Coturnix japonica: one gene and its partners. The protein of the gene in region 4 purifies or fractionates together with the protein of the main gene of each other region. This does not show direct contact. Links are inferred from orthologs where the notes say so. Each region holds a gene or a part of one and is shown on either strand. Other genes may lie near its edges.

Region 1 (5,274 bases), on a different chromosome or scaffold from region 4:
TTCTCTCCTGACTGCATGCAGCACTGTTCACCTGTTGTGCCTTGGCTTTGGTATTTCACAGACATTCTGAGTGGAACTTGTATGCATTAACGTACCTTATAAGTAAAACTAAGGTGAGGCTGCTGGTAAATCAAACAACCACTTCACAAAAGGTAACAATACCACAAATCAGATTAGTAGGAAAAATATATCTATTACCCTTTGAAACATTTGTATGACTAACAGCTCTCCATCCACAAGCCCTTCAACTGTCCTGCTCATTTGTCTTCCACCTTGCAGCTAGTAGCTAGTCAGGACATGGGTAGGTGTTTAGGACTGAGTCATAAATCTGTCTTACAGAGCAAAAGCCCACAGGTCAAAGGAAATGACAGTGGCAATTCAGAGCTGGGCTCTCTGCATGAAGAAGAGGAAGTTTCTGAAGCTGATAACCGAGAAAAGGAGATTCTCATTGATCGGATACAGTCAATAAAAGAAGAAAAGTAAGTCATAGCCTTAAAAACCCTGTTGTGCCCTTTGTGGTTGGTATAATACAGACAGCAAAGCACTATGCTTTTTGTCCAAAACTATCTACAGTTAGTTCATTATGTTCTACAGGCCTTTATGAAGGTGAAAATGTAAAAGCCAGGATGAGAGAAAATACTTTGAGAATTATTATTTAATGACTATATGCAGGAAGGTTTACCTCTGATAGGAGCAACCTTAAGCAGCGTTTATTTCAGAAGTGCTCTTTCTGTCCTGATGTAGGGAAGACATAACATATCGGTTACCTGAGCTTGATCAGCGAGGCTCTGATGAGGAAAATGTAGACTCTGAGACCTCAGCAAGCACAGAGAGCCTGCTAGAAGAGAGAACGGGGCGGATGGATACCGAAGGTCAGTATTAAGGTAGTGTGTGCTTTTTTTATTCTACATATTTCACTGCATCGAGCCAGGTGACCAGATGCTACCTGGTCACACCTGCTTGTATCACGTTACATTCTTATGCATGCTTTCAGTGTATTGTTTCTTTAAAGGAATTACGATTTCTGGAGTCCAGTGCTGCGCTCAGAGCTCTGACGTGCCTGCCAAAGACATTTGCACAGTGCCTTCTCTTTTGCAAACCTCTTCAAGTTCTTTGTCTGCATCCCTGGCTTCAAGACGCAGATTGTCTTTTACACTGTCCAAGATTAAGGTGCCCCGTCGAACTCCAGTGATGCCAACAGCAAACATCAAACTTCCTCCTGGGATTTTCAAATGTACCGAATCTCAGGGCAAGGCTTCAGCTGATGAAGAGTCTCCAATAGTGGTGAGACGAAGGGAGCAGCCAGCAATACGAACTGATAAAGTCCACTCTATCTACATTGCACAAGGGTCTGCAATGACCCACCCTCAGGAACTTTTAGATGAATATGAACCAACAGCAAAAGTAAAACGGAGGTTTTCAGACCCTTATTCCCACCTTGTGTGTACGGAGAAGTGAAATACTGAAGCTGTCTGGATCTTTCTGAAGTTGACTTTAGATTTTTAAGGCTTTGAAGGCTGTGAACTTATTCATGAATGTACAGGTAAAGAAAAAATAGCGTCCCGTTTCTGCTGCCGTGCCTTCTTCCATTTGCCTTACAGTGGACTTTAATGGGACCAACAGTGAGTGTGGGTCAGTGTACGTTGCCTTAATTTTGTATGTTTTTATGACGACTTTGTGCGGTTTACAGAACTGTTCGTGTTGTAATAGCCTTAACTGAGACCAAATGTACAAAAATGTTCATTAATACATTGCACTTTTTAAAAAAATACACCAAAGTTTGTGTCTATTTATCGACGTTTATTATCTGCCTGTATCTGTGCTGTGTGGGGAGCCCCGCCTACAACGGCCGAGCGTCTCCATCACCTCCCGCCCCGCCCTAAGATGGCGCCGCCCGGAAGCGGTGCTGAGGTGGCTTCCGGTGCCGGCTGTTCGCAATGGCGGCGACGCGGCTGGAGCTGAATCTGATCCGGCTGCTGAGCCGGTGCGAGGCGCTGGCGGCGGAGCGGCGGGATCCCGAGGAGTGGCGGCTGGAGAAGGTGAGGGGCGGCCCGGCCTTGTGTTGGGGAGGGACTGGCCGGGAACAGCCCTCGGCCTTCAGCAGCATCATTCTGCTCCTCGGAATAAACAGAGGTAGCCCGGTGTCAGGGCGTTAAACCCCATTGCGCTGTCAGCCGTGCTGCGGCTTCTGCCGGGATTAATATTAATATCTATCCGCAATGCTGACTCCTTTCTCTCTCTCTCCTTTCTCTCTCAGTACGTGGCCGCCCTGGAGGACATGCTGCGGGAGCTGAAGAAGCAGTGCAGGTGAGGGCTGCCAGGATCACATCGTGGCGTTGGGGCCTCACTGCCCTATTAGTATAAAAACCTCCCTGTGTGATATCTTGGAGTTCTGATGGTTTTAAAACCATTCCCCCTTGTCCTGACACTGTCTGCAGCCTCACTTTAAGTACTGGGAGGCCACAGTGAGGTTTCCTCAGAGCCTTACTTCCTTCACCATACTTTGTGCTCTCTGGTGTCACCGTGGCCCTCCTGTGGATGTATTCCAGAAGTTACATGTCTTTCCTGTGCTGGAGGATACAGTCCTCCAAATGGGGCCTCACAGGAGCAGAGCAGTGGGAGACAATTCCCTCCATGCCCTGAGCCACCCCTCCCATCCCCCATTGATGCAGCCCAAGATGCCGTTGGCCCTTCAGGCTGTAAGCACACACTGCTGGTCTGCATTCAGTTTGTCATCTACCAGCACCCACAGCTCCTCGGTAGGGCCGCTGTTAGAGCGTTCTTCACCCAGTCTGTTCACGTATCTGGGGTTGCACTGACCCGAGTGCATCAGGCAGTTGCACAGCTGTGCCATGTTCACATACACGCTTCATTCTCCTTGTCAGCCTCGGCTCTGCACAGTGTTCCTCTGCTTGGCTGTGTCCTGAGCTGCTGCAGTCACAGTGCCTCGGCAAGGTGGTTTGAGGGGGTGCAGGTATGCTCCCAACTTGAGTCTATTTCTTTCTTGAAAAAGCCCACGTTGATTAATTTGATTTGAAGACTTTTCTAAACAATGGAAATTGGTAATGCTTTACTGCTTTTCACATGTTTTTTTTTCCCAATTCTAATAGCAAGCCTGCCCCAGAACTGCTCAATGAATACACACGTAAAGTAGACTTTCTAAAGGGACTTCTGGAAGCTGAAAAACTGGTAAGATATGTTAGTTTACCTTGGAAAAACTTAAGAGATATTCTCCTCTTAAACTCTCCTTGTTGCCTTGTTCCTACGCTTGCTTTTATCTTACATCCCAAGATAACACTTGTTAAAATCTTATCAGGCAATTCTCGACAAGAGTGAATAAATATATTGTATTTTGTTGAAAGAGGGTATTGTGTGAAGTCTGAAACTTCTTCCTTCCTTCTCCAAGCTGTAGTTTGCAAAATTCCACAGCCATTCCAGCAGCTGTGGAAGTGCTCCCTAAATCCTCATTGGCCATACATCCAGGTGGCCTTACGCTACTGAATGATGTTTGTGACTCTTTCTCGTTGGTTCTTCTTACTTACAGTCTTCATCAACTGAAAAGGCACTGGCAAATCAGTTCTTAGCCCCTGGGCGTACTCCTACTACGATCAAGGAGAGAACCCCAGCTTCCAAAACGGTTCATCTGCAGACCAAGGCTCGTTGCACAGGCAAGATGAGGAGTGAGCTGCTTGGTACAGTATGTTCTGGTGCTGCTGCTTCTCTACTATTACTTTATAGATGGTCTCTTATGACATTTGGTTGCCTTTGGTGGCTGTGCCTCAGGTACATCCTAGGCTGGGGGTGGAGTCACCTTTTGTTTTTCCTATGGATAACCTAAATACTGGGCACAGGTGCCATACTGTGCATGGAGGCCCTTGAATCTGTGATTCCATGTGATTGTTCCTCATGAACCTTTTCACTGGCCCTTTGTAATCTTTTCTTTTGTTTCTCTTCCTGCCTCCCAGGATCCCTTGGCTCTCAGTGGTAAGTTCAATCTCCTTTTCTTTAATTGACCTGAATTTTATGAGTAAAGAAAGAGGAAAGTCAGGTGTTAGAGGTGTATTTCTAAATTACTGACTCACTTCTTGTCAAGATATAAGATATAAGATATAAAAGAAACACTGAATAGGTGAGAACATGAGCAGTGTTACCTGTACAGCAGAGGAGACTTGCAGGAATTCATGCTGAAACAGGTGTTTCAATTGTAGCATTAGCAAGGAGGGTTTGTGTTTGTCATTGCCAACGTTCTCTTCTGCTGTGAGCAAACCGTGTGATCTCAGGAGCTAACATACAGCCACGTTATTCACGTAGGGAACTGGTAGGATTTAATTTGTGGTTTCCATAGCTACTGTAACAGTGGCTGGAATGAGGCCAGTCTGAGTGTCCTGGAAGAGAACAGCACAGCCCATGGGCGAAGCCGAGCCCTCAGGGAAGTGATTCATCTCAGGTGTTTTATTCTCCCAACCAAACGTTTGCTGTTATGTACTGTCTTTTCCTGGTGGAAAACAGACGTTTGAAATCCACGTTCCCTGGTGTAGAACCAGGCCAACTGGGATTACATCTCTGGGAAAGAAAATCTTTCAAGGAACTTGTTTTATCAGCCTGTGATTGTGCAGTGTTGAGTAATATGCTAAAACAGCATTTATTTTTGTTCCAGATTCTGAGGAGCTGAATGTAAGGAAGCGGAAGTAAGTCAGAATTCCTTATTTTGATGCTCCGTGCCTTGGGACTGCCTTTCCCAATGACCTTAAATCACAGATACGTTCCCATTTGGGTGAAGTGCGTGTTGTTCTGTCAGAGTTGTACAACCTGAGCTGACCTCCCAGTGGTTCCCCATAAGTACAAATCCCTATTCTTCTTTCCTTGTGCTCTTGCAGAGGCCTTGTGTCTGATGAGAAGCAGTCAGCAGTGGAGCTGGATGCTGTGTTACAGCACCATCAAGACATGCAGGAGAAGTTAGCGGAGGAAATGCTGAGTTTGGCTCGCAGTCTCAAAAACAACACTTTGGCTGCTCAGAACGTGATAAAGCAAGACAACCAGGTAGCGTGTGTGACAATGCTGAACTCTTCAGTTGCAATCTAGGAGGTTAAGTCGCTCATATGTAAGAAACAAAAGCTGAGACTTCCAGATGAGGTTAGAATGAGGGGAAATTTGCAGGCAGTGCCTGTCTGCTTCTGCCATGCAGCTGTGAACCTTTTCTCTGTTGGAAGAACTGGTGATGAGAGCTTTTGAATTCAGAATTGAAGGTGTTCTGTCTGTAAATTATGTGTTTGA
Region 2 (5,188 bases), on a different chromosome or scaffold from region 4:
CTCTATGGAACGTGTAAAGAAAAAGTGGAAGTGAGCCACAGTGTTGCTATGCTTGAATGTTTATCTGTGCTGAGCATAACAGACCACTTAGATACTTAACAGAATTCAGTGTAAATCTTTCCAGTAGCTTTGGTCACAAGGTCTTCCAACAGTGGGCTCCAGACAAAAAAGAAGAGTGGGTGGGAGTTCAGTCTGACAAAACCACCCATCTAGTTTTTGGTGAAGGCTTAGAATATCACTTCCCGCTGAAAGAAAATGTTAAATGGAAGATGGTTTACAACATTCTGCTTTACACTATGGATTGTAGACTGGGGTGTGGTGGTCGAGGCTGTTGTATGAGATCAGGGATGGCGGTGGAAAACTTTGGTCCGGTTTGGATGGCACTCAGAGTAAGCATTATTTATGTTCTTTACTTTCTTTTTGCTTTGTCTCTCCTCTTTACGATAGATGGTAAATTCCGGGCACTGAAGATGGAGTTCTCCCTTCCGCCATCCACTTACGCCACTATGGCGATCCGAGAAGTTCTGAAGATGGACACAAGCATTAAAAACCAAACGCAGCTGAACACTACCTGGTTACGCTGAGTGAACTGCTGGCACGGCCTAGATTTTAACATGTACAAAGTGTTTTCCTACTTACGTTCTGTACAAATCTTTGAAGGGTGGCAGTGAGAGATTTGTATTTTTTAAGTTTTTATTAGTGCAAGCAGTTAAATTAAGTAGTTATTAGCAAGATGCCGGTTGTAATGTAATACGGGCCTTAGTGACTGGTGCTTTGTAACGAATGGACCATGAGGTCGCTTGAGCTGTGTTGCTGCATCTCTGAGAAGCAGGCTTATGGCTTCTGACCTGGGCACATGTTCGTCTCGCTCTGTTTCAGCGAGCAGTGAATGTTTTTATCAGTTCAGCACACCTTGAGATCTCTATATTAAAGTACAGCATTAGGAAAATTAGAGCTGAGTGAAGGTACTGATGGCTGTTTGCTTCCAAGAAGCTGCTGCGGTCAGCCGGGCTGGCTGTGTGCTGCCACAGGGCACAGCTGTTTTAATTAAACACGAGCTTCTTCCGGGGAAAATGTGTGCATTTTCAGCTTCACCAAGACAAGGTACTGGGAATAGTTAACCAAACACAACGGTGTGTCAGTCCGTAGCGCCTCGCTCTGTCCCTGGCTGAGCCAGCCTGCTGCTGGGAGGCAGAACGAAGCTGCATTTTAAACGATTCTAAACCAAATAGGGAATTCGTGCTGCTTGTGTGAATAAAACGCCGTGAACGGAAGGTGCTCCCGGCTCTGTGCTCCCTGAGGTGGGGTTATGGGGGAGCTGTGTGGAAGGGGCGGGCGCGGCCATGGGGGTGGCTGAGGGGGAGGCGGGTGCGCATGCGCCTCTGGGCCCGCCCCGGCTGTGATGTGTGCGGCCTTGGGCCGCGCTGTGCTGACGCGGCGGGGCGGGGAGCGAGGGGCTGCGGGGCCGGCGGTTTGATATTGCTATTAAAGGCCTCGTTTTAAAGGCCGGCATGGCTATTAAAGGCCTCGTTTAATGTTCAGGTGAAGAGGAATCGCCCTGCGTTCCCAGGAGCCCCGTGTCCTCAGTAGGTCGGTAGTTGGTCGTGTTCCCTTAGTGGTAACCAAGTAGAAATTACGTAAATAACATTGCGGAAAAAAAGAAGGCATGGCAGCCGTTAATGTGCCGAAGAAAGAAGTCGTCAGAGATCCGGATCGCTGCGATATCCCGTACTACGTTTCAGAATTTGTGGAAAGAGAAGTTGGGAATGACTATGATTCTCTGAAGAAGCTGGGCAGCCTCATTGAGAAGCTGTCTGAAAACAAGAGGCAGCTGGAAGAACAGGTAAGTGTCTGTGCTCATTCTCCGTGTGATTTTTCTGTGTGAGGCTTAATGCATGTCTGTAAATGCAGGTTCTCACGGTTTCATCCGAAGTCCCTAAAAGAATTCAGAACGCCTTAAAGAATGCAGAGGACTCAAAACAATCTCTGAATCGGCTTCTAGAGGAAGAAACTCTCCTGTCCGATTCCATCAGCAGCCACTTAGAGAAAGCTGAGCCGTGGATGGAGGATCTCGGGGTGCTGATCAGCCAGGTGGAGGAGATTGAGCATCACCTGGCCTATCTGAAATGGATTTCCCAAATAGAAGAGTTAAGGTAAAGCCGATGTACTTATGGAGAGTTCTTACTAGTGGTATCACACAGCTTCTTCAAAGATTCAGTGTTAAATAATCACATTTAAGGAATAAACGAGAGCAGCAAGTTGTCATCTGGCCATATAAACTGTTAACGTGTTCTCTGGTGAGAACTGGAAGTTATTGCTCTGGCTTAAGGAAGAGAACAGTAACTGTGTCGATATGTGGATGGAACTCTTTCACCCACTGTAAATTATGGTGTAAGAACTAAAATAATACTGGAATATCTTGAGCGGAAATGTTACGCTTCAGACTTCGTGATTCTGAGTTTTCATTCTGGTACACTGATTTTATCGTAATGGGAATGAACAGTGCTGTTTTAGTTAATGTGATTTGTAGCTTCCTTCAGTGGAAAACTTTGTGTAATGCTTGTAAAGAATGTCAGAAATTGGAAGATTCCTTTGGGTCAGATTTTGTACAGAGAGACTTAAGTTATGAAACAACTTGGTCTGAGCTATGAAAATGTGACAGGTGTGCTGCAGTCTGAAATTTGCTTCCAGTTTTCCTCCTGGGAAGCGTGAGGAAAAGCAGATCTTTGAACAAGTTCCATAAAGAGCAGTGCTTCAAAGAACTTCGGGCCTCCCTTCTTTCCTTCTGCCTTCAGGTCTCGGTGACAGGCAACTTAAGGAACTTCACACAAAGAACTTGTTTCGTGAATCCTTGCTGTAGGATGTATGTGATGGGAGTGGTAACCTCGTTAAAGTATTTCAGATTGAGCATGTTTTCTGCCAGTTTCTCAATATGATGGTTCTTTTGTGTTATCTTTAGTGAATTTTTGTCTCAACTCTTCTTGTATTTATGTTCTTGTGTTCATAGTGATAACATTCAGCAGTATCTGATGACCAACAATGTTCCGGAGGCAGCCAGTACTCTAGCGTCTATGGCAGAACTGGATATTAAACTTCAGGAGTCATCTTGTTCTCATCTTCTTTCGTTTGTGAGATCCACTGTTAAATTTTGGCATAAAATTCTTAAGGACAAGTTGTCAAGGTACAGGACGACTCATCACTCCCTCATTTCATGTTGTGCCGTAGCTTGGTGGTAAAGTGTGTGTTTTGTGTTGCAGTGACTTTGAAGAAGTGCTGACCCAGCTTCGTTGGCCATTTGTGGGGCCACCGCAGTCTCAGGCGTTTGGCCTTACTGCGCCAGCCAACGCTTCTGATGTTTACAACAATTTAGAGGTTTTGTTCTGCCAGCTTCTGAAATTGCAAACATCGTATCCTTTAAAAGTGTAAAGAAAATTGCCTTGGGGGTGTTGGTTGGTGCTTAGCTAAACATGAGCCAGCAGTGCACCCAGGTGGCCAAGAAGGCCAATGGCATCCTGGCTTGTGTAAGAAATAGTGTTGCCAGCAGGAGCAGGGAAGTGATTGTACCCCTGTACTCAGCTCTGGTGAGGCTGCACGTTGAGTACTTTGTTCAGTTTTGGGCCATTCACCACAAGAAAAACACTGAAGCCTTGGAGTGTGTCCAGAGAAGGGCAACAAATCTGTTGAGGTGTCTGGAGCGCAAGTCTTGTGAGAAATGGCTGAGGGAAGTGAGATTGTTCTGTCTGGAGAAGAAGAGGCTCGGGGGAGACTTCAGCTCTCTCTACAACTGCTTGAATGGAGATTGGTGTAACTGGTGATAGGGTGAGGGAACTGTCTCAAGTTGTGCCGGGGGAGATTGAGGTTGAATATTAGGAACAATTTTTTCTCTGAAAGAGTGGTCAGGCATGGGAATGAGCTGCCCAGGGAGGTGGTGGAGTCACTGTCCATGGAGGTATTCAAGAAACATTCAGGTGTTGTACTAAGGGACGTGGGTTAGTGGAAGAATATTGGTGGTAGGTGGGTGGTTGGACTGGATGATCTTGGGAATCTTTCAACCTTGGTGATTCTGTGGTTCTATTCTGCGATCCTGATCTGCCTTTGAGGTAAATCAGAAGATGCTGCTCATCCTGTTCCTTTAGTTTGAGGGTAAAATCAGGCAGAGATAAAACTCAGGCTTTTTTTTCTTTCTTTTCTTTTTGTTTTTTCCCAAACAAACAAAACCCAAAACAGGAATAAATGTGGTCATGTTATGCAACGTGGCGCTGGAACAATTCTGGTTGGTTAGACCAGGCTACTTGCACCAAGGTGGGAAATCACATATTGCAAGTATTATTTTAATGAATCTTTGATAGTCCTTTACGAAACATGGATGGATGTCTCTTGGGTACAGGTTTGGGAATGATGATGGGGTTCTGTTTCTTTTCATGATAGTGATTTCCTAAACCATACTGACTTCAGTGACTTAAATTGTCATTGAATAAATAATAATTAGCAGCCAGAGTTATGTTAAATATTTTATAAAACTGAAACGTTTTGAGCATTGTTCAAATTGGAGGCATTTTATAGCTTGTGTGCCTTCGGACAGTGAGGTAGAGCTAAAACGTATTTGTTTTTGTAAACCCATTGTATTTAAATGATACTTACAGAGAAATTCAGCATTTCTCCTTGACTGTCAAACTTAGAGATGAGCTGTTAACCAAACCCAAACAGCTGCCAGAAAAGTACTCCTTACCTCCATCACCACCTGTTATCCTCCCAATACAGATCATGCTGAATCCTCTGCAGAAAAGATTCCGCTACCATTTCACTGGAAATAAACCAACCAATGTTTTAAGCAAGGTATGGAAAGAAAAAAAAACAGTTTAATTTTATTGCTACTATTTTTAGCAGCATTAAATTACGTAGCTTTAATGCTTTCATTTTGGAAATTCAGTTTCTTAAAATACGTGGTACTTGTATGTACTGTATGGACAGGCATCAAGGCAGTGCTTGGAGACCTTTGAGAGGACTAACATCTTTTCTGGGCTAGGCAATGTTTTTCTGAAATCATTCCTGCATTCGCTCCCATCATTTCAGAAGCATAGATTAATTTAGTCTTTGTCTTTACAAATTGTTTTGCAGTGTTCAGTATTGCTTGAACTCAAAGACTGTATAAGGCTCTGACTTTGATTTTTGTTGTTGTGTTTTGCAA
Region 3 (4,731 bases), on a different chromosome or scaffold from region 4:
ACCATCTTCCTACTCCTGCTGACTATTTCTTATATAAAGCCAAGATACCACTGGCCTTCTTGTCCAGTTGGGCACACTGATGGCTCATATTAAGCTGGCTGTTAACTAATAACCCCATATACTTTTTCCCCACAAAGTCTTCCAGTCACACTCCAAAACAATAAAACCAGAGACGTTAAAGCATCTTAATTTGTTTCTACCACTTAGAAAATGTCAAGTTAATCTGATGACTGTCAGTTTTCTCTCAGAGAGTGGTCAGGCACTGGAATGGCTGCCCAGGGAGGTGGTGGAGTTGCCATCCCTGGCAGTGTTCAAGAGGCTGAATAGGGAGCTAGGAGATCTGGTTTAGTGTTTTTCTGTAGGTATGGTAAAGGGAGGATGGTTGGACTAGATGATCTTGTAGGTCCTTTCCAACCTTGTGATTCTATGATTTGAACCAAAAAAAAGATGAGGAAAATACTCCACAAACAGTCATCTACAGTTTTGTTTATTAGTACATGAATTTTACTTTGTCCTGTTAATGTAATGAAGCTAAGACTCTTTACAAAGCTAATGAACAAATGCCAGATGACTTAACAGCAATAAGAACAGAAATTACTACTTCTGTTCTCTGATTAGTATCTCTGCTGATTATACTATCAGAAATATAATGTTTCGGAGATAAAGATATAGATATTATACATTCAACGTATTCCACAACAGCACCGGAGTCATTTTCAGTATTGATCTCTCCACATGCCTATGAGATTTTGTGACAGATAGGATGACTGGGAAAAAAAAAAATTAAAATCAGCATATATTTCTCTTGATATCCTGGAAGATTTTACACCACCACACACTGGTAGGTTGTGCCGTTTGACAATGCTCACCTGCTGGATTATTTTTTCTCATGCCAAAACAATCAAACAAAAAAACTATGTTTGATTCTACAGAAGAGCTTTAGTTACAGGCTGGATTTGATGCAAGTTTCATTATTCAGCCTTTGCTATGGATACCAAACTAACCTTTCCATATAGCTCTACAATACCTGGAAATTTCTTAACAGCAATATATTTGCAGTTATGATTTATTCCCAGGAAACAATCTAATGCTGCATGTGAAGACAAGATTACACTAGAGAAAGCACATTGATAGAAATTTCTCCTTGGAGATATTTTCTAATTTCAGATAAAAGCTCTAAGTCCTCCAGATCAGGCCTTCAGTTAAATTAACAAGATGACTCTCTCTCTTACATTTACACTCTCTTACACTTACAGGACAGCTCTCTGAACTGCCACTAGTTTATGCTGCATAAATTAGAACACAATGGAGATTTCTGCAAAGATTACACAGCAACTCTAAAAATAAAATATAAAAATAAAAATGCTGAAGTCATAAAAACAAACCCACCAAATAGTCTTGAATTGAAGCAACATTAACAGCTGACTTCCTCCACTGCCTTTGATACACAAGATCAGAATCAAGGCCATATGCCTGAGCCAAAGACAGAGCTTCCTCATATTCTTCATTATCAATCTAAAAAGCAAACACATGAAAATGAAAGTCAATATTAAACAATCAATAATTAATTCTCTGTGTTAAAACAGGTAGAGGGATAATTACTATGGGTGTGCTTACGCACGTAGGAAAGCAAACATAATGTACGATTAGAATATGTAGAACTCCTAACTCAGGCCAGATAGTAACCTCTAGGAAAACCACAAACTTCCCAGTAAGAAGGAAAGAAGCTGTGTAGGCAATCACTACAACAGCAGCACCCCCTGAAAACTCTAATAGCTATAGTTTTAGCTTATCATTAGAAGAACTGAAGTGTCCTAAACAAAGTACTGCCTTCAAAATAAAGACACATCTCTTATGCGATAAAAGTGAGTCACAAGACTACTTTGTATGCATGGCACGTCTCAAAAAACATTCATATAATAGCAATATCAAGGTATAGATTAACCCATTCCCTAGATAATAACAAGCTAAATTAATTTAATTCGATATATCCACCCATTCTTCCATTGTTTTTAAACACATTAGCACAACGAGTCTGGCCACACTAATGAAACATGATGACCAGCAAACATCCTGTTACTTCAATTACAATGCTGGTTTTACCTAACTTATGTTAGGTAACATGATACACTGCTGTCTATGAGGCCCTTAGAAATACGCACCTAGTGTTAAAATAGCAAGTCTTAAAAAATAAGAAGAAGAAAAAAATCTGTTCAATTAAAGCTCCTTACCAGAGATGGAATCTTCCCTTTTATACTCACTTTTCTCTGGTAAAGTTCCTCTGGAGTCGTGGACCTTAAGCTAACAAGGCGGAAATTCTTTGTAATTGTACGTGGACGTTTCCGTGGAGGAGCAAATCGTTCCATTTCTGTCACAAAATATAGGCCTTGCTTCAGGTAGCTGAAGTATCTGTCCTTAGCAGAATTTTCATCATCTGAGTCAGAGTCATCTTCTCCCTCATCTTCATCACCAGGTCTGCTCTCCAAGCGTAGTCTTTTTGGAACTAGTTTTATTTCACACTGCACAGAAGACAGTTCTTAAGGGTAAAATAGAAAGTTTCCACACAGTATATCTTTGTGACAATGAGGTACATGTCCACTTCCAGTACTTCAAATTTCACAGAATCACACAGAATCACAGAATTGTAGGGGTTGGAAGGGACCTCTAGAGATCATCAAGTCCAACCCCCCTGCCAAAGCAGGCTCCCTACACCACATCACACAGGTAGGCGTCCAGGCAGGCGAGTCTTAAATATCTCCAGAGAAGGAGACTCCACCACCTCCCTGGGCAGCCTGTTCCAGTGCTCCGTCACCCTCACTGTAAAGAAGTTCTTCCGCACATTTGTGTGGAACTTCCTATGCTGTCGTTTCATCCCATTACCCCTAGTCCTATCCCCACGCACTACTGAAAAGAGACCAGACTCACCACTATGTCTCCCACACCTCAGGTATTTATAAACCTGGATCAAGTTCAATTTCAAAATCAACATTTTTTCGCTTGTAAACCCTTTACTTCTCAGCTTGAGTAATACTCTCCACAAGCCCTGACTGGGTCTGTCTTCTAGATCTGAGGTTTCATCACTTTCTTACTAAAGCAAGGGCAAAGGCTTCTTATCAGTAGTCCATTATTATACTAGATACACTCAATCCTATACCATCCACAGACAGTACAGATCTACTGTTTACAGATCTATATTTAATCTCAGTATAATTATACAGCTTACTTCAGAGTGTAACAATGTTTTCAACTATTAGCTAAGCAAATTATGGATTCCTGTTCAATGCAGATCTATTTCCAAACTGTTCTTCCATAGGCTGTAACATGCCAGTCACTGGCTCTATTTCATTTCTTAAATAACAAAACTTGCCAGAAATGTGCGCAAAAAGCTCTGGTATGTACTCAGCTATTTCAGCTAAATATTTAAGATGTTTAAGATCTATTCTAGTGTAAGCATTCTTATTTTCAAAGAAAATTCCTGGTCTACTTCATTACCAAAGTTATGTTCTACTCCTGCCTAGAACCCTATTAAAGGTGAATAAAAAACAGATCCCTTCCAAGGCTTGGTCAATTACGATTTATTCCTTGCTTCCCGTAAACATACTCCCTCTGCAAGCATCTGTTTCAAAACAAGAGGGATGCTTGAAGTATTCTTCAAATGCACTAACAAAGCAGTTTCTTGTTTTGTTTTGGTTTTTTTAAGTGAGCTGACACAAACTGTTTCCTGCAGCAAAACTTTTTAATTCAGATGCAGGCTTCCAGAAGTTTTCCATCTACACTTGGCAATTACTTGTTAAGTGCAATTGCCACGTTACTTGGCAATTAAGTTTTTTATAGATATCTGAATTGCAGGAGGTTCAGAATTGCCTGCCTAGAGATAAAGAATCACTTTTCTTATTAATAAGCACATATATGCATGCAACATACACAACAGAACACTGCTTCTACTGCATTCCTTATATTTGCTTATGTGCATTCCTCACCTCCAGACTCAGAAATCCTCCATCGTGAGCTGAAGTGACCTGAGGAGAACTCTCAAACCACTCACATGACTTTCCCAGCAAGTTTCTTAATGTCTTGGCTGATGACACAGTCAATGCACCAGAGCAACGAGCCAGGATCACAGAACTATCTGCCCACCAATTTACATCTATCAGTGGGTAATAAGATTCTTTATCTGAAATAAAGAAATAAGAAAGCACCATATAAGGAAAGGCAATTTTAAACACCAGATAAGAACTGCAGTGGCTTCAACTATTAAGAGTTAACATCTGATGGTCTAAATTTAACAAGCATTTATTATTTTATATACATTCTTGGTTCACTGAATTTGTATTTTATGTCTGCTAGTTTAGTGAAACCATTCCAGTTAGCTGAAGGATAGGAGGGAAGGGGAGGGAAGAAGAAACTTAATTTTTTATTTAATCTGTTTGCTTTTTAATATAATTTGGAAAAAGAATTCACAATAAACTGATTCACTTGCATAAAACTTGACAAATCTTAGATGGCTGATAAACGCCTCCTTAATATTTCCCTAGACATCCTTGGTCAAGTCTCTCTAACCAAGATCATTATATTGATGAAACAAAAAAGGTTTCACTGCTTTTGAGGAAAACTGACAACTGTGAACAAGGCTCCTGAAACAGCCCACAGGGTGACACTATTAAGAAAATTAAAGTGCCAACAAGATTAAAAAAACAGCATAATGAGGAAGGAAACTGTGTCACCTGCATG
Region 4 (5,328 bases):
TTCCTCTCTCATCCATAACAGAACGCATGAAGAGCAAGTGTTGGTGTAGTATTCCACACTGAACTGATTGAATAAAAAAAGGTCGAACTTCCCCTGTGCTGTCTGGCTCATCAAAACAAGCACAGTGGAATTACTGCTGCAGTATTTTGCAAACCATTATGTCCCATCTTAAAGGGACATTTTGTCTAAATGAAAATAGAAAACCCGCTGCTTCCATTGCTGATGACAAAGCAAAGCCTCCCAGCCGCATGCATTCACTGCATACTAGGATACGACTTGCCCAGAAAACAAGGAAATTGTTACTGCTGATTCAGAATCTGCAGCTGGGATTTGTAAATGATCTTTCCCTCAATAAACTCCAAGCAATGCTCAGTCAGAAACAGGGCGACAAAGAGTCTGCCAAACTGTCTTTTTAATGGGACAAGAAACATGCTACTTTTGTATGAACAAACTGGGCCCAGCTGCCATCCTCAGATGGGGTCAGGAAACCCCCAGAAGAGGGTGAAGGTTGTGGCATTGATCCCAGCCCTTACACTGCTCTCTCTTCTGCTCAACAGCACAGCTAGTGAGAGGCCAAGAGTACAGAGAGCCAAATGGTTCATGAATCACTGATTTTGAGAGGTCACTTGATTTATCTTCTTAGGAGTCTAAGCCAAATAACTGACTAAAGTCTTGGTTTCACAGTCCCTGATGCACAGCGGACAGAACAAGTGACCTCGGGTTCAAGTCACTCAACTGCCTTGTCTCTTAGTCATCCCAGCTGGAGACGGGGTGAAAACAGCCTTCCTACTCAGACTGTTTTCTCTACATATGGACTTGTACCTGTGCTCTTTACTCCTCTGTTGCCAAACGCATGTCAGGACAGTAGCACAGAGTAATATCATACACACTGCTAACTCTGTGAGAATTCACACCCCTTCCACAACTGCTTTCATATAAAATTGAGTTCTACAAACATTAAACAAGAACTCCAGCAAAAAAAACTTCATGCAACATACAACAGTATTTCTGTTCAAATGTTAGAGGAGATCTGCTGAACAACCCCTGAATTACCATCAGAGCAAGCTCTCCTAATGCAATGTGTATTTCCACCATGCTCTGCATCATGACAGCTTGGCTCCCCTCACCCTAACAGAACAGTTGAAAGGTTCTTCAGCCATGCAACCCACACCCCAAAGCCCAGCTCCATCTGTACCCAGGGTCTGCACAGTCTCCTCGCTCTGCTGGACTTGCTGTGACATCATCCTACTGATGCTCATCAGACTCTCCGTGATGTTACTTGCACTTTCTGCCAGACTTTCCTTTGTAGTCTTCCTGAAAAAGCAAAAGAAGAAAACACTCAGGGATAGAACAGTGTCTTTGGTACAGCAGGAACGCGCAGCTGTGCTCTGTGTACAAAAGATACAAGCAAGTTTTACTGCATGAGAACTGGAGATAATCTTTGCTGAACTACTGAAGAGAAATCACCAATTACTGAAGCCATCAACCTGAACAACTGCGGCTCAGAGTCTCACAGAGCTCATGCTGTAGCAGTCATTCAGCCACGATGGCACAGCTTCATAAGGTGACATGGAAGCACTGATACAAACTACCATTTCATCTCCTCAGCTATCCTCCTTGCTGCTCCACAACACCAACCTTGTCAACTTCTCCATTCAGGAGTTATACAAACTTATATCCACATCTACAAAGGAAAACAACTTGCACAGTGATCCACTACTTGCTTATGACCCTGGCAGGAATTAATAAAAAAGAAAATCACAAAAGTTATGAGGCCTACCACAATTTCACCTCTGCTTTGACATGCAAACACTAAAAAAGCCCTGGAATTATGACAATTCTTCACAGTTTAAGCCTTCATAATTAGACAACAGCATTCCATTACAATAAAAGCTATAAAAGCTACTTTCTGAGTACAATCCAATCACTTCAAGCACATCACATTGCTTTCATTGGTACTAGTGAGTATGGCAACATTGTTTAAGTCTCACATCATTCAAGGGGACACTTTAATACCTTTGTCTTAAGGAGTCTCTTCCCTGCAGCAGCTGATCTTTCTCAGAGTTGTCGATAGCGATTTTGCAAGCCAGATTTGCTTTTCTCCAAGCTGCCTGATTGCTGAAATCACAAGAGCACAATGTTGCAGTGCGATGGCAACACCCTGTAAGCAGAAATCACTTTCACAGAGCAGTCACCATAACTAAGATCCATGTATGCACATAGACTTTCTCTGCATTATACCACTGAGTGACAGTATGTTGTTCTTTCATTTCCTAAGTGTATCATTCCAGGCTTAGTCACTCAAACGGACAGACCTGCTCAGAGAGCCAGGAAGGAGATGGGAGCCCTCCTCTTTCTGTCCCTGATCACAGAATCACTTGGGTTGGAAGGGGCCCTTTAAAAGCCATCTGGTCCAACCCCCTGCAATGAATAGGGACTCCCACAGTTCTAGAGCCCCTCCAGTTCTGACCTTGGGTGTCTGCAGGGATGGGGAACAACCACTTCTCTGGGTAACCTGTGCCAGGACCTGCTCTTGGTCTTAATAAAGGCAGCACCGTGTCACTGACTGGGTCTGCTAAAGAGGAACTGAAAGAGCACCCTGAAGGCAGCTACCTCTGAGGACTGGGTGCACCTGTACACAACACAGCCTACAAAACACGGCCTACCTGAGCATTTGCTTTTTATGGTTCTCCACTTCCTGCAGCAAGGCCTGTTTCTCCGACTCTTTATCTTGCTCCCTCGCCATCTGTTCCAGCTCCTTGGACAAAAAAACGGGAATAATATCAGGCTGACCGCTGCCACCTGCAGCTCCAAGGGAAGGGAGCGGAGCTGCAGCGGCCCCGAGGGGAGCCCAGGGGGGCTTCAAGCAGCACAACCCCACCTGGATGCGGCCTCGGAGGTGCCGGAATTTCTCCTTCACCGCAGCGTTGAGCTCCGTGAGGGCGCTGAGCGGCCCCGGGCAATCCCGGATATCCTGGAAGACAACGGCACGGCCTAAAGCACTACGTGGCAAGCAGGGCCAAGCAGCGGGAGCCTCGCAACCCGCACCGAAGGGTTCCTTCGTCTAAAGGGGGCTCCGAGGGCGGCTCTACCTGCACGGCCGCCTTGATCTCCAGGTCGAATTTGACGATCTCCTGGTGACACACCCGCACAGGCACCGAGCCGGCCGCCGCCATCTTGGGAATGGAAAGGCGGGACATGGAGCGCCCCCTGCTGGCCCCCACAGCCCGCCCGTCATCCAGTGTGTGGAAATAGGAAAGGCCTCAGGCCCCCACAGGATCCATCCCACAACACAACACACAAACACACGCGATGATTTCAGACAGTGTTTCCTCCACGATTTTTATTTTAAATTACAAAGGATGTCGCGTACATTGATGAAATTTTGAGTCTGAATAGAAGTTGCGAGGGACCGAGGAGGTGTGTGGGGAACAGGGAACAAAGTCAATGGTGGGATTGTGCCTCTTTTCAATAAAATAAAAATAAAAATAAAGATCGCACAGCTATTAACCAACATCTAACAGCGCAGCTCTGAACAGATCATGCTTTGAACAGGAGAGTTTATTTCCTAACAGAGACACGACTTTCATGGAGTTTCTCTGAGCTCCCATTGGAAGCCAGTGATGGAGGATGCCATGTTTTGCCTTTTCCACCCTCGTGCCATCAGCCTTCGTGTTCACCCGAGCACAGATACCGAACAATGAAGTTTGAGGTCACTTCTCAAAGGAGAAAGTACAATATGAAAGATCAGTACAATTAAATGCTACTCCCGGGGTCAGTTCTTAATTGAGAGGTTTTCCCTCGGGTGGATTGTGCTTTTGTCAATACAAAATCCAGCACAGAAAGTTTTCCTTCCTGTAGATGGATAAACACCCAAACTTGACTTATCCAGACATGGAATGAGCAACTACCCGCAGGGAAGCATTGGAACACTGGTGTTATCCAAAAAGCCTTTCATTTTTATGAAGAAAGATTGTGGCTTAAGATAGTTCTGGTTCCACTTTTAGCTCCTCTGCTCATTAGAAAGACAACAAATGCACTGCCAGCATTTAGTCCTGTGGAAGTTCACGGATGTCTACGAGGCTGAGGGCTGTAAAACAATGCACACACATGCCTTTGCTACATGTGAGGAGCACTGGGGAAAAACACGGCACGTTGTGAAATGGAAATCAGACAGAGATTGAGATACTTTTGTATATTGCAAAGAAGATAGAGCCTAAAAGTGCCATCTTTCATTAACGACACGTAGGAGTCCCAATTTGTATTGGGAGATATTCAAGAGTGGTGTTTTCTCAACGTACTAATGCCCTTAATACAGTTACAAAAAGAATCAGTCACCAAAGCAGTAACTGAAATGTACTTCACACGATCCCTGGGGTAAACAAAACAGATTTCAGCTCTGTGCATGGCTGTGTCAGGAAGCCAAGACCACATCTAGCAGCACACTGAACACGGGAAGTCCAACTGAAGCCTCCGAAATAACAACGATTAGATGCATTCTTGAAATTCAGGTCTCAAGGCCAAACACAGACCCTAACATTCATGGTACACAACTGGTTACGCCTCAACAGAACCTCAGGAAGACTAGCAAGCAAGTCAGAGGAACAGAATGGCATCTGCTATTTCTGTTAAAGGCAACTTATATACAACCCTTTACAATATTCCTGATAAAGCCTCTTGCAGCTTTCAAAAATAGCTATATTTAAATCATTTATGGAAAAAAAAAAAGAAAAAGCACATCCATTCTTTGTATTTTGTGAATAAGCTGTTTTATTAACGAAGGCAAATAGCGGATAAATGTTGGGTGGGGGGGGAAACTTTTTGGATCAAAGAAGTACTGACAGCAGGTGTCTGGTTGCTTTTAGGTCAACTAACAGACCCTTCACCCATTTGGATTTTAGGTTTTTCTGGTTTCAGCTTTTTCCCAGCTTTATTTACCAGTGGCAAAGGGTCTGCTATCTAGAAAGGAGCAGGGACTGAACACAGCTGAGCCTGACTCTCACATCAACCTCGCAGCAAAGCAACTTGATGCAATCACGCTTCAGCTGGCATGGTAAGACAATCCAGCCCACCCACACTTCATAGTTTTATTAGTAAGTCTCTCTCAACCAAGAAAAGAACTCACCAAATATCGGTGTGTTCAATAAACCATAAAAGAAGTGTTAGCAAAAAGGGGTTTAGGGCTCAAAAATGCCCTTTGCGAGCACCCCCACATTCTGCAAGGCCATCCAAAAACTGGTCATCTATATAAATAGAAAACGACTGCTATTGAGAGAAACAAAAATAGATCTATCCAAACTCTCTTCAGGATGCTTTTACCAGTTCAGA

What was found.
Region 1: the proteins of BNIP1 (region 4) and USE1 purify together in Homo sapiens (co-immunoprecipitation; 4 studies listed by BioGRID and IntAct, counting the BioPlex papers as one, with this or other methods). This does not show direct contact. The link is inferred for Coturnix japonica from reciprocal best matches to the Homo sapiens genes BNIP1 and USE1.
Region 2: the proteins of BNIP1 (region 4) and RINT1 purify together in Homo sapiens (co-immunoprecipitation; 3 studies listed by BioGRID and IntAct, counting the BioPlex papers as one, with this or other methods). This does not show direct contact. The link is inferred for Coturnix japonica from reciprocal best matches to the Homo sapiens genes BNIP1 and RINT1.
Region 3: the proteins of BNIP1 (region 4) and NBAS purify together in Homo sapiens (co-immunoprecipitation; 3 studies listed by BioGRID and IntAct, with this or other methods). This does not show direct contact. The link is inferred for Coturnix japonica from reciprocal best matches to the Homo sapiens genes BNIP1 and NBAS.

What each region holds. Positions count from the first base shown.
Region 1 is NC_029543.1:3,206,993-3,212,266, reverse strand, and holds the start of USE1 (vesicle transport protein USE1), read left to right. Parts: upstream 1-1,883; 5' UTR 1,884-1,937; coding exon 1,938-2,039; intron 2,040-2,257; coding exon 2,258-2,307; intron 2,308-3,110; coding exon 3,111-3,189; intron 3,190-3,544; coding exon 3,545-3,697; intron 3,698-3,965; coding exon 3,966-3,984; intron 3,985-4,657; coding exon 4,658-4,688; intron 4,689-4,877; coding exon 4,878-5,040; intron 5,041-5,274. Other genes in the region: MYO9B (unconventional myosin-IXb), read left to right, coding at 340-479, 745-872, 1,013-1,458.
Region 2 is NC_029516.1:12,588,995-12,594,182, forward strand, and holds the start of RINT1 (RAD50-interacting protein 1), read left to right. Parts: upstream 1-1,505; 5' UTR 1,506-1,666; coding exon 1,667-1,843; intron 1,844-1,911; coding exon 1,912-2,153; intron 2,154-3,007; coding exon 3,008-3,181; intron 3,182-3,257; coding exon 3,258-3,407; intron 3,408-4,679; coding exon 4,680-4,836; intron 4,837-5,188. Other genes in the region: PUS7 (pseudouridylate synthase 7 homolog), read left to right, coding at 448-584. UniProt on the Homo sapiens protein: Involved in regulation of membrane traffic between the Golgi and the endoplasmic reticulum (ER); the function is proposed to depend on its association in the NRZ complex which is believed to play a role in SNARE assembly at the ER.
Region 3 is NC_029518.1:90,213,509-90,218,239, forward strand, and holds part of NBAS (neuroblastoma-amplified sequence), read right to left. Parts: intron 4,175-4,731; coding exon 3,981-4,174; intron 2,520-3,980; coding exon 2,262-2,519; intron 1,516-2,261; coding exon 1,390-1,515; intron 1-1,389. UniProt on the Homo sapiens protein: Involved in Golgi-to-endoplasmic reticulum (ER) retrograde transport; the function is proposed to depend on its association in the NRZ complex which is believed to play a role in SNARE assembly at the ER. Required for normal embryonic development.
Region 4 is NC_029528.1:11,060,894-11,066,221, reverse strand, and holds the start of BNIP1 (vesicle transport protein SEC20), read right to left. Parts: upstream 3,227-5,328; 5' UTR 3,201-3,226; coding exon 3,093-3,200; intron 2,975-3,092; coding exon 2,667-2,974; intron 2,119-2,666; coding exon 2,017-2,118; intron 1,315-2,016; coding exon 1,196-1,314; intron 1-1,195. UniProt on the Homo sapiens protein: As part of a SNARE complex may be involved in endoplasmic reticulum membranes fusion and be required for the maintenance of endoplasmic reticulum organization. Also plays a role in apoptosis.